Linked DNA regions of Macaca fascicularis. The protein of the gene in region 1 purifies or fractionates together with the protein of each later gene. This does not show direct contact. Links are inferred from orthologs where the notes say so. Each region holds a gene or a part of one and is shown in the gene's direction. Other genes may lie near its edges.

Evidence for each region.
Region 2: the proteins of DEPTOR (region 1) and FBXW11 purify together in Homo sapiens (affinity purification with western blotting; 4 studies listed by BioGRID, with this or other methods). This does not show direct contact. The link is inferred for Macaca fascicularis from reciprocal best matches to the Homo sapiens genes DEPTOR and FBXW11.

The regions. Positions count from the first base shown.
Region 1 is NC_088382.1:129,483,589-129,488,048, forward strand, and holds the start of DEPTOR (DEP domain-containing mTOR-interacting protein), read left to right. Parts: upstream 1-1,591; 5' UTR 1,592-1,710; coding exon 1,711-1,832; intron 1,833-3,284; exon of another isoform or gene 3,285-3,484; intron 3,485-4,460. UniProt on the Homo sapiens protein: Negative regulator of the mTORC1 and mTORC2 complexes: inhibits the protein kinase activity of MTOR, thereby inactivating both complexes. DEPTOR inhibits mTORC1 and mTORC2 to induce autophagy.
Region 2 is NC_088380.1:178,660,269-178,664,081, reverse strand, and holds part of FBXW11 (F-box/WD repeat-containing protein 11), read left to right. Parts: intron 1-1,655; coding exon 1,656-1,766; intron 1,767-2,756; coding exon 2,757-2,835; intron 2,836-3,813.

The DNA.
Region 1 (4,460 bases):
GGTCTACATGTCTATTGTGGCCTATTTAAAAAGTTAAGAAGCTTAAATAATTTCTTTTGGCAAAAGAGTCACCTAACATCTGTCTCATGCAGAGTCAGAGCTGGTCTGCTCATGGATGCTCAAGACAACTATTCTTTTTCTGGAGTGGGGCTGAGTATGGCCTTGGGAATCTGCGGAACCAGGGTTTAAGGGCTGCCTAACTTTCTAGGCAAATTACTTCATCTTTCTATACTTAAGCTTTCTCATTTGTAAGTTGAAAACAATACCAAACTCCAGGGTTTTGTGAGGATAAGGTGTTTAGCACAATGTAAAGCACAGAATAAATGCTCAACACACATGAATACTGACATAAACATTACTTCGCCATCCTGCAGACCAACTCCAACTCTGCATGAAACAGAAAAACGAAACATTTATTTGGTACTAATCAAATTTCCTTTCATGATCTTTTATGGGTAGACAATACCATTGTATCCCCATTTTAAGAGGCAGTCTTTCAGTCTTTTCAAAGCATAACTTTGAAGCCAGAATGGCCTGGGTTAGATTTCTTCTTATACTTATTATTATTATTTGAGACGGAGTCTCGCTCTTGCTGCCTAGGCTGGAGTGCAATGGCACTAACTTGGCTCACCCGAACTCGGCTCACAGTAACCTCCGCCTCCCGGGTTCCAGCGATTCTCCTGCCTCAGCCTCCCAAGCAGCTAGGATTACATGCATGCACCACCACGCCTGGCTAATTTTGTATTTTTAGTAGAGATGGGGTTTCTTCATATTGGTGAGGCTGGTCTGGAACTCCTGACCTCAGGTGATCTGCCCGCCTCGGCCTCCCAAAGTGCTGGGTTTATAGGCATGAGCCACTGTGCCCGGCTCTTCTTATACTTATTACTTGCTTGCTTTAGAAAAGTAACTTCACCTCTCCAAGCCTGCATCCTGATGCAAAACAAACACCAATATCCATTTTATGATTTATTGTAATAATTAAACGAGGTAAGAACATATCTGAAGTATCTTTAATGCGGCAGATGTCAAAAAGTGGTCGCCGTAATTATTTTTATTTTGTAAGGGAGGATTAAACACATTTAAATAGGACATCACAGGAGTGGAGCTGGATCCCAGGTCCGACTGATTCCTAGGCCTGCGTTCCTTATTGATTACAACATAAGACAAACAAGTCGTCTTTGGTGAGAGAGGTTGGGGAGAGAAGAATGTTTAATTTCTCCATGCCCTGCAATGACATGTATAACCTTCACTGTTGACTATTTGGCCAGATTGTTGAATTATGTTTTGTTCTTTGGCAACTTGGGGTATGGAACATAGAATAACAACGCCTTCACACTAGTAACCTCCAGGCTTGTCCCTAGGATTCTACAGCATGAGCTTTGTGGGTAAAGAGAAGCTCACCAAATTCAGCCTCCAGCAGCACACACAGCTCGGAAGCAGCGCCCCGCCCAGATGTTTATATTTTGCTCCATCGGCCCCGCCCCCCGACCACGAGGGGCTCTAGCCACGCCCCCAAGCTCAAGTTTCTGGGGCCGGACTAGCACAGCGCGTCTGCCTACCCACAGGGATTCCCTCTCCAGCCAATCCGCTCAGAGCAGAGGAGCTGCCCCGAACAAAGATGGCGCGGGAGGCGTCTGTGAGGGCAGACTGATCCGAGCACCCAAACCCTCGGCGGACAGCGGAGCCAGTGGTAGCGGCACGGCCCCAACCATGGAGGAGGGCGGCAACACTGGCAGTGCTGCCAGTGACAGCAGTACCAGCGGGAGTGGCGGGGCGCAGCAAAGGGAGCTGGAGCGCATGGCTGAGGTCTTGGTCACCGGGGAGCAGCTACGGTAAGGCAAGAGACACAGCGGATGAGCTCACGATGGCACTGCCAACGCGTGCCCGCTGCAGTCCTGCGCGCACGCGCTCCCTGGCTCGTGGCTTGCGACTCGCGTGGGGCGCCCGGACGGCTGCAGGCGCGTGGATGGTTCTTGGTGCGCCCGCGCTTAGCGGCTGCAGCCCGGGTCCCTGAGGACTCGCCACGCGGGGCTGCTTGGCAGAAGCCGACGAGCGGGTGGTGAGCGCTGCGCCCTAGCCTGGCTGCTGCAGCCCTATGCCCGACAGACTCCCTGGCACCCACCGCGCTGTCCGTCTTCCCGTGTACCTGGACGCCGCCAGGCCTCCCGGCTGACAGCCTGCGCCTCGTCCGCCAAGAGAGCAAGAGGGGTCGGTGTGAGGTCCCGAGGAGACCCCAGCCCCTCTACTCCTTGCTAAAAGGAGCAAGACCAACGATGGCCTTCACTAGGTTTTCCTTTTTGCTGACAAGTCTTCCTTCACTTCCCTGAGCCTCGGTGTTTTACATCTGTAAAACAGGGCTGATCACCACGCCTCATTTCAAGGACTTTTGTGGGGTTAAACTGAGAGAGCATTTCTGAAACCCTGCACCTATCAGTTAATTGGCACATCGTCCTCAATCATTTGGGTCCGCAAGGGGGCGTGGAGGCACCTTGTCGGGCTGCCTTGAGGCTGTGCCAACTCCCCGGGCTCGCACGTTTTGGGCAGCAGGATCCATGGGGACCCTGGCTGCTGCAAGAATTAGGACTTGAGGCGTCTCACGGAACTTGGGAACAAGCGATGACCCCCAGAGTTCCCCTTGCCATTCCCATCCCTGTATGGTCCTTCCTCTAGGGCTGTTTGGGAACAGTACTTATAGTCTAACTGGTTCTGCAGCTGCCCTTCGTGTGGTCATAAATCAGTTTGCTAGGAAAAAGAAAACCCAGCTCTGCGGCGTTTGAGCCACAACTTGTACTCGGGCCCCTGTTCCTTCTAGTTCTTAACCTGAATTCCCCAGCTCGTTTTGGTGTGTCAGTGGCTGTGTTTCAGGACCTGAAAGAGTGTCTTGCAAAGGTCTCTGAAGGAAACCAATATTGGAAGTCAGAATTAACTGATTTTTAATGTTACAAAAGGCAAATTGCGCCTATCGATTCTTTGTTGATTTTTAAAAATATGTGGTCAAAATTAATTTCCTTCATCAAGAGTACTTTCTAATGAAACCTGTCAAGCCTGTCTGTGTGAAGGGACCACCAAACAAGCTTTGTGTGAGCAAGAAAGCTTTTTAATCCCCTGGGTGCAGGCAGACTGAATCTAAAAAGGAGTCAGCGAAGGGAGATGGGGAAGGGGTTGCTTTATAGGAGTTGGGTAGATAATGGATAATGGTGTAAGTTTGTGAAGTGCAGTCCAAGAAGGCGGGGGTGACTGCGTAAAGCCCTGTTGTAAAGAGTAGAGTAAGGAAGAAGAGACCTGATATCCCTTGGAGAATAAATGTTGAAGGAGCAGGAGGGTGTCTTGCTGAGAAGATTCAAAGGAGGGGCTACAAAGTAGAAGGTCATCAATATATTGTACAAGGAGAGAAGCAGAGGGGTGGAAAGAAAGTAAATCATGAGAAAAGGCTTGGCTGAAGTAATGAGGGCTGTCCCTGAAGACTTTCGGCAGCACAGCCCAGGTAAGCTGCTGGGACTGATGGGTGTCAGGGTCAGTCCAGGTAAAAGCAAAGAGAGGCTGGGACGAGGGGTGCAGAGGAATAGTGAAAAAGGCATCTTTAAGATCAAGAACGGAATAGTGAGTTGTGGAGGAAGGTATTGAGGACAAAAGAGTGTACGGTTTGGGCACCACAGGGTGGACAGGCAAAACAATTTGGTTGGTAAGGCGCAGATCCTGAACTAACCTGTAAGACTTGTCCGGTTTGGGGACAGGTAAAATGGGGGAATTGTAAGGAGAGTTTGGAGGCTTTAGAAGCCCTAGCTGTAGCAGGCAAGTGATAGCAGGCTTCAGTCCCTTTAAAGCCTGCTGTGGGAAAGAAAGTTTAATTTCTCTGCTCTTCATTACTGGGCCATCTTTTTAAAAGTCTTTCGTTGGATAGGGTTACTTATTTTTCATTTATTTTACAAACATTAAATTGCATGATGGCTCTTTTTGTCCAGCAAGTACTTCTTCCTTCAAGATGCAGTTTAAATGCCTCTTCCTCGCAGTCCCCAGAGCACTTGTTATTCCCCGCTTTTCTAGAGCCTGTCTGCACTGCAGCAGTTTTGAGAGCCATCCTTGTCACACAGGAGTTAGACCTGGGTTTGGATGACTGCTCCACCATTATGTAGGCAAGTGTCAGCATTAAGTTGTTTCAAGGAAGACTTTAAGCTAGATTGAATCTTGGCTTTGCTGCTTACTAGTGTGGGACCTTGGACAAGTTAGTGCGCCCGTAATCCTAGCCCTTTGGGAGACCAAGGCAGGCAGATCCCTTGAGGCCTGGAGTTCAAGACTAGCCTGACCAACATGGTGAAACCTCATCTCTACTAAAAAATACAATAATTAGCCGGGTGTGGTGGGGCACGCTTGTAATCCCAGCTACTTGGGAGGCTGAGGCGAGAGGATTGCTTGAACCTGGGAGGCAGAGGTTGCAGTGAGCCAAGATAGCTCCACTGCAC
Region 2 (3,813 bases), on another chromosome or scaffold:
CACATGGGAGTGTACTTTATTTTTCTCTCCCAAGACTGCATTATGGAATCATCCATTCCTGCCGGGATCGTTTACCTCCATTTTTCCTTCCCAGCCCTCAGCCTCCTTGCTTTCTAATAAATCTAACTAACCTTAGACATTTTGTATCTTGTTAAGAACATGCCTTCAATATCTACTTAATTATCCCGTGCCATTTCCCCACTGTCTTAACACACTCTAGTGGCTTTACATAAGTGACTAAACTTAACTTTGGTTTATAATCAAATTGACTAATGTTTGGTCAAAATAAAGATAGGGTTCAAGATTATTAAAAAAAAATACACATACTAGTAGCTTTACATAAGCTTTACTAAACTTTGGTGTTTATAACCAAATTGCCTAATGTTCGTTCAAAATAAAGATTGGGTTTAAGATTATTACAAAGTTTTTTTTTAAAGGCAAGCAAATAACAAAAAAGCTATAACGGCTCTTTAAGTTTGCTTTATCATTTTAGGCTTTAAGATACCATAAAGTTAGTTTAGAGCTTAAATCTTGATTCTCTTATATTCGTCACGCTTTGTGGTATTGCTTAATGTTTCATCAGTAAACAGTTCTTAACCTCCTCACTGGAATTGTTGAGGTTTTACAAGATAGTAATGTGTATTACTCTGCAGCTTATAGAAGAGAACCACTTTGGAGTCATAGAGGCAGTACTGAATGACTTTGATCACAGATTAGAGATGCTGTCATCACGGGTACTAAGATTTGCTAAGGGCAGCTGTAATAAAATGATCTTTGGATGTATCATAGGAATTACTGGTAGAGAGGCTAAGAAAAAGTTATGATAGAATTAATTTGCTCACTTTATTTTGTACATGCTAACTAGCTATGATTTTTTTTTCTGCAAATACGGTAGAAAATCAGTCATAATAGGAAAAAAGATCTCTAACTCCAGAATGGAGTTATATGCAGAGAAAAAGATTTGGTGTAGTCAATGGGTTTATATTTCCGCCAGAACACTGCGTGTACCTAATCAGTCTCCCACTCTGACCTTGTACATCAATTCCAGTATTCAGCATATAGTATCAAGGAAGGGGTATCCACAGGCCTCATCAAGAGAGAGCTGCTGGTCCACCAGTTCTAACCTCAGCGGTCCTCATGGACTCCACTGTGCTAGAATTACCTTGGGCGGAAGCTTTACCCGATGGCTGTATGTGATATCTCCCTTCCCACCTTGTCTCATCTGTGCTTTTTCTCCTTTACTGCCTACAATCCCTGTCTCCCCAGAAAAGTCTTTCCTACACCATTTGTCTACATGGTTTTTATCAACTCAGACATCAAGAGAATGCCTAAGAACTAAATAGAATTGACGTTTCTTGTTTGTTGATTTTATTTAAATAGTAATACAGGCACAGGATTAAAAACAGTTTCAAATCATATAAAAGGAAATAGAATAAAAAGTAAGGCTTCCTCCTAGGTTAGTGCTTGGAAACACACAGATGGTATAAATGTATACATATAGCTTTATATGTGTGGTGTGTACTGGAAGTGAGATAGAAATAAAGAGTTCCAAGATAGTGAAAAATTATATCTGTATGGAACAGATATAAAAAACTTACAGATAGTGTGAATCATGTGTGGGAAATTGTTTCACAGAGGTCTGTTTTTCATTTAAGGCTCTGGGATATTGAATGTGGTGCCTGTTTAAGAGTCCTAGAGGGACATGAAGAATTGGTCCGATGCATCCGGTTTGATAACAAGAGGATTGTCAGTGGGGCCTATGATGGGTATGTCTTTCAGATTTTCAGATGTACTGCTATAACTATATCAACAAGAAAAAGAAATGTTGTATATTAAGCAACTCTGTATGTACCAGGTCCTATGGTAGGTTTCTGTGTAGTGGTGGATGGCAGGTATTATTATACCAGTTGTTTAGGTGAGGACACTCAGGCCCAGAAAGAACTAAATCTTGCCTCAAATGACAGAGGCAGAGTCACTGTGGTTCCTAAACTTATGCTTTGAGTCATTGTTGTAAACTCCAGCAATAGCTGAGGTTGAGTGTACTCACTTCTTTGCTTTACCCCTAAATTAAGCCAGGCGCTCTCTCTCTGTCTCTCTGTCTCTGTGTGTGTGTATGTGTGTTCTTTTTCTCTCTGTGTGTGTGTATGTGTGTTCTTTTTCTCTCTGTGTGTGTGTGTGTGTTCATGTGTTCAATAATAAGTTTCTTCTTTTCCCCTTTTGGTAAATTGAACAAACCCTCTTTAAAACACCTCACTATATTTTAAATGGGCAAATGGCAACTGTAAATCTTTCCAGATGACCTTATATATACTTCCCAAATGGGTTGGTTGGTCTGTTTGTACTCCTATTACTAACTTCCAGCATTTGCTTAATTTGGAGAAAGGTATCCTTGGAATTTCACACAGAGCCCTAGCTTCTGTCAGCAGCACCTCCTCAGCCCTAGAGAGTCCCCTGATGAATGAACTTGGTGACACAGGTTATCAGGTCCGGAACTGAATTTAGATAACCTGAAGTTGTTTTCTTATCTCCCTTAAAATAATATTTCTTTAAAATTTCAGCAATTCTGAGAATGTGTTGGTTCTTAATTTTTCTGAAGTCAAGTGTAATTGGTTCAGATGATTTGTAAAAACATAAGCATGTTCCCCATTAGCTTTTATAAATAGGCAGTTCAGATGCACTACTTTTTGTCAAGGAAATGTTTGACAGCATATAAATTGTTCATTTTTCCACTAATCACATCTCATTTCCCTTTCTAGGAAAATTAAAGTTTGGGACTTGCAAGCTGCTCTTGACCCTCGAGCCCCAGCGAGCACATTGTGTTTGCGCACATTGGTGGTACGTGACCTCTTAAGACAGGAATTGGTTCCCTGTGCTGGAGGATGACCATTTGCAGATAGCCCTGTCTAGGTGTATCACAGGAGCGCTTGTGTATCTCACAAGATGCCTTCAGAGAATTTCACTGTTCATTTTGTCTAGCCAAAATCAGAGAATATTTGATGCTTAAATTACTGTGAGCACTTTTCTAAGGGGAGACATAATGCAACTTCAGATATGAAGGCAGGCATCCTGATTTGTAGGTGGACTGGTTTCCTCATAGGGCAAGCAATATTTCCTTCTTGCAGGTTTGAAGATTTCTTAATATGGCTACTTGTGGTTATGTTATGTTTTAATAACAGCACATTTTTATACTATATATAAATTTTTATGCTATATGTAAGTACTGTTGTATTTTTGAAGAGATAGTCATTTGGGAATATTGGTAGATTTAAAAAAATTTTTAGTAGCTTTATCTTTTATTTCTATTTCTTCACTTCTTGCATTTACTAGAAGATGCAGAACTCTCTTTCTTCTTGATTTTAATGGGAACCCTTATAATGTTTCACCATGAATTTTGATGCTGGCAGCAGTTTGAGGTAGACCCTGGTCATGTTAAACAAACTGTCCTTCTGATTCTAGGTTTTTCCAGTGGATTTTTAGAGTGCATCAAGAATGGGTATTATGTATTGTTGTTTACTTTTCTAAGGCCCTTTGTGAGATGATCTTTGAAATATTGGTAGAGTCTAAGATACAGAGTTGAATGAAAGAAAAGGCCTAGCAGGGGGTGCCGGGCGCAGTGACTCATGCCTGTAATCCCAGCACTTTGGGAGGCTGAGGCGGGTGGATCTCAAGGTCAGGAGATCAAGACCATCCTGGCTAACACAGTGAAACCCCATCTCTACTAAAAATACAAAAAATTAGCCAGGTGTGGTGGCGGGCACCTGTAGTCCCAACTACTCGGGAGGCCAAGGCAGGAGAATGACGTGAACCCCGGAG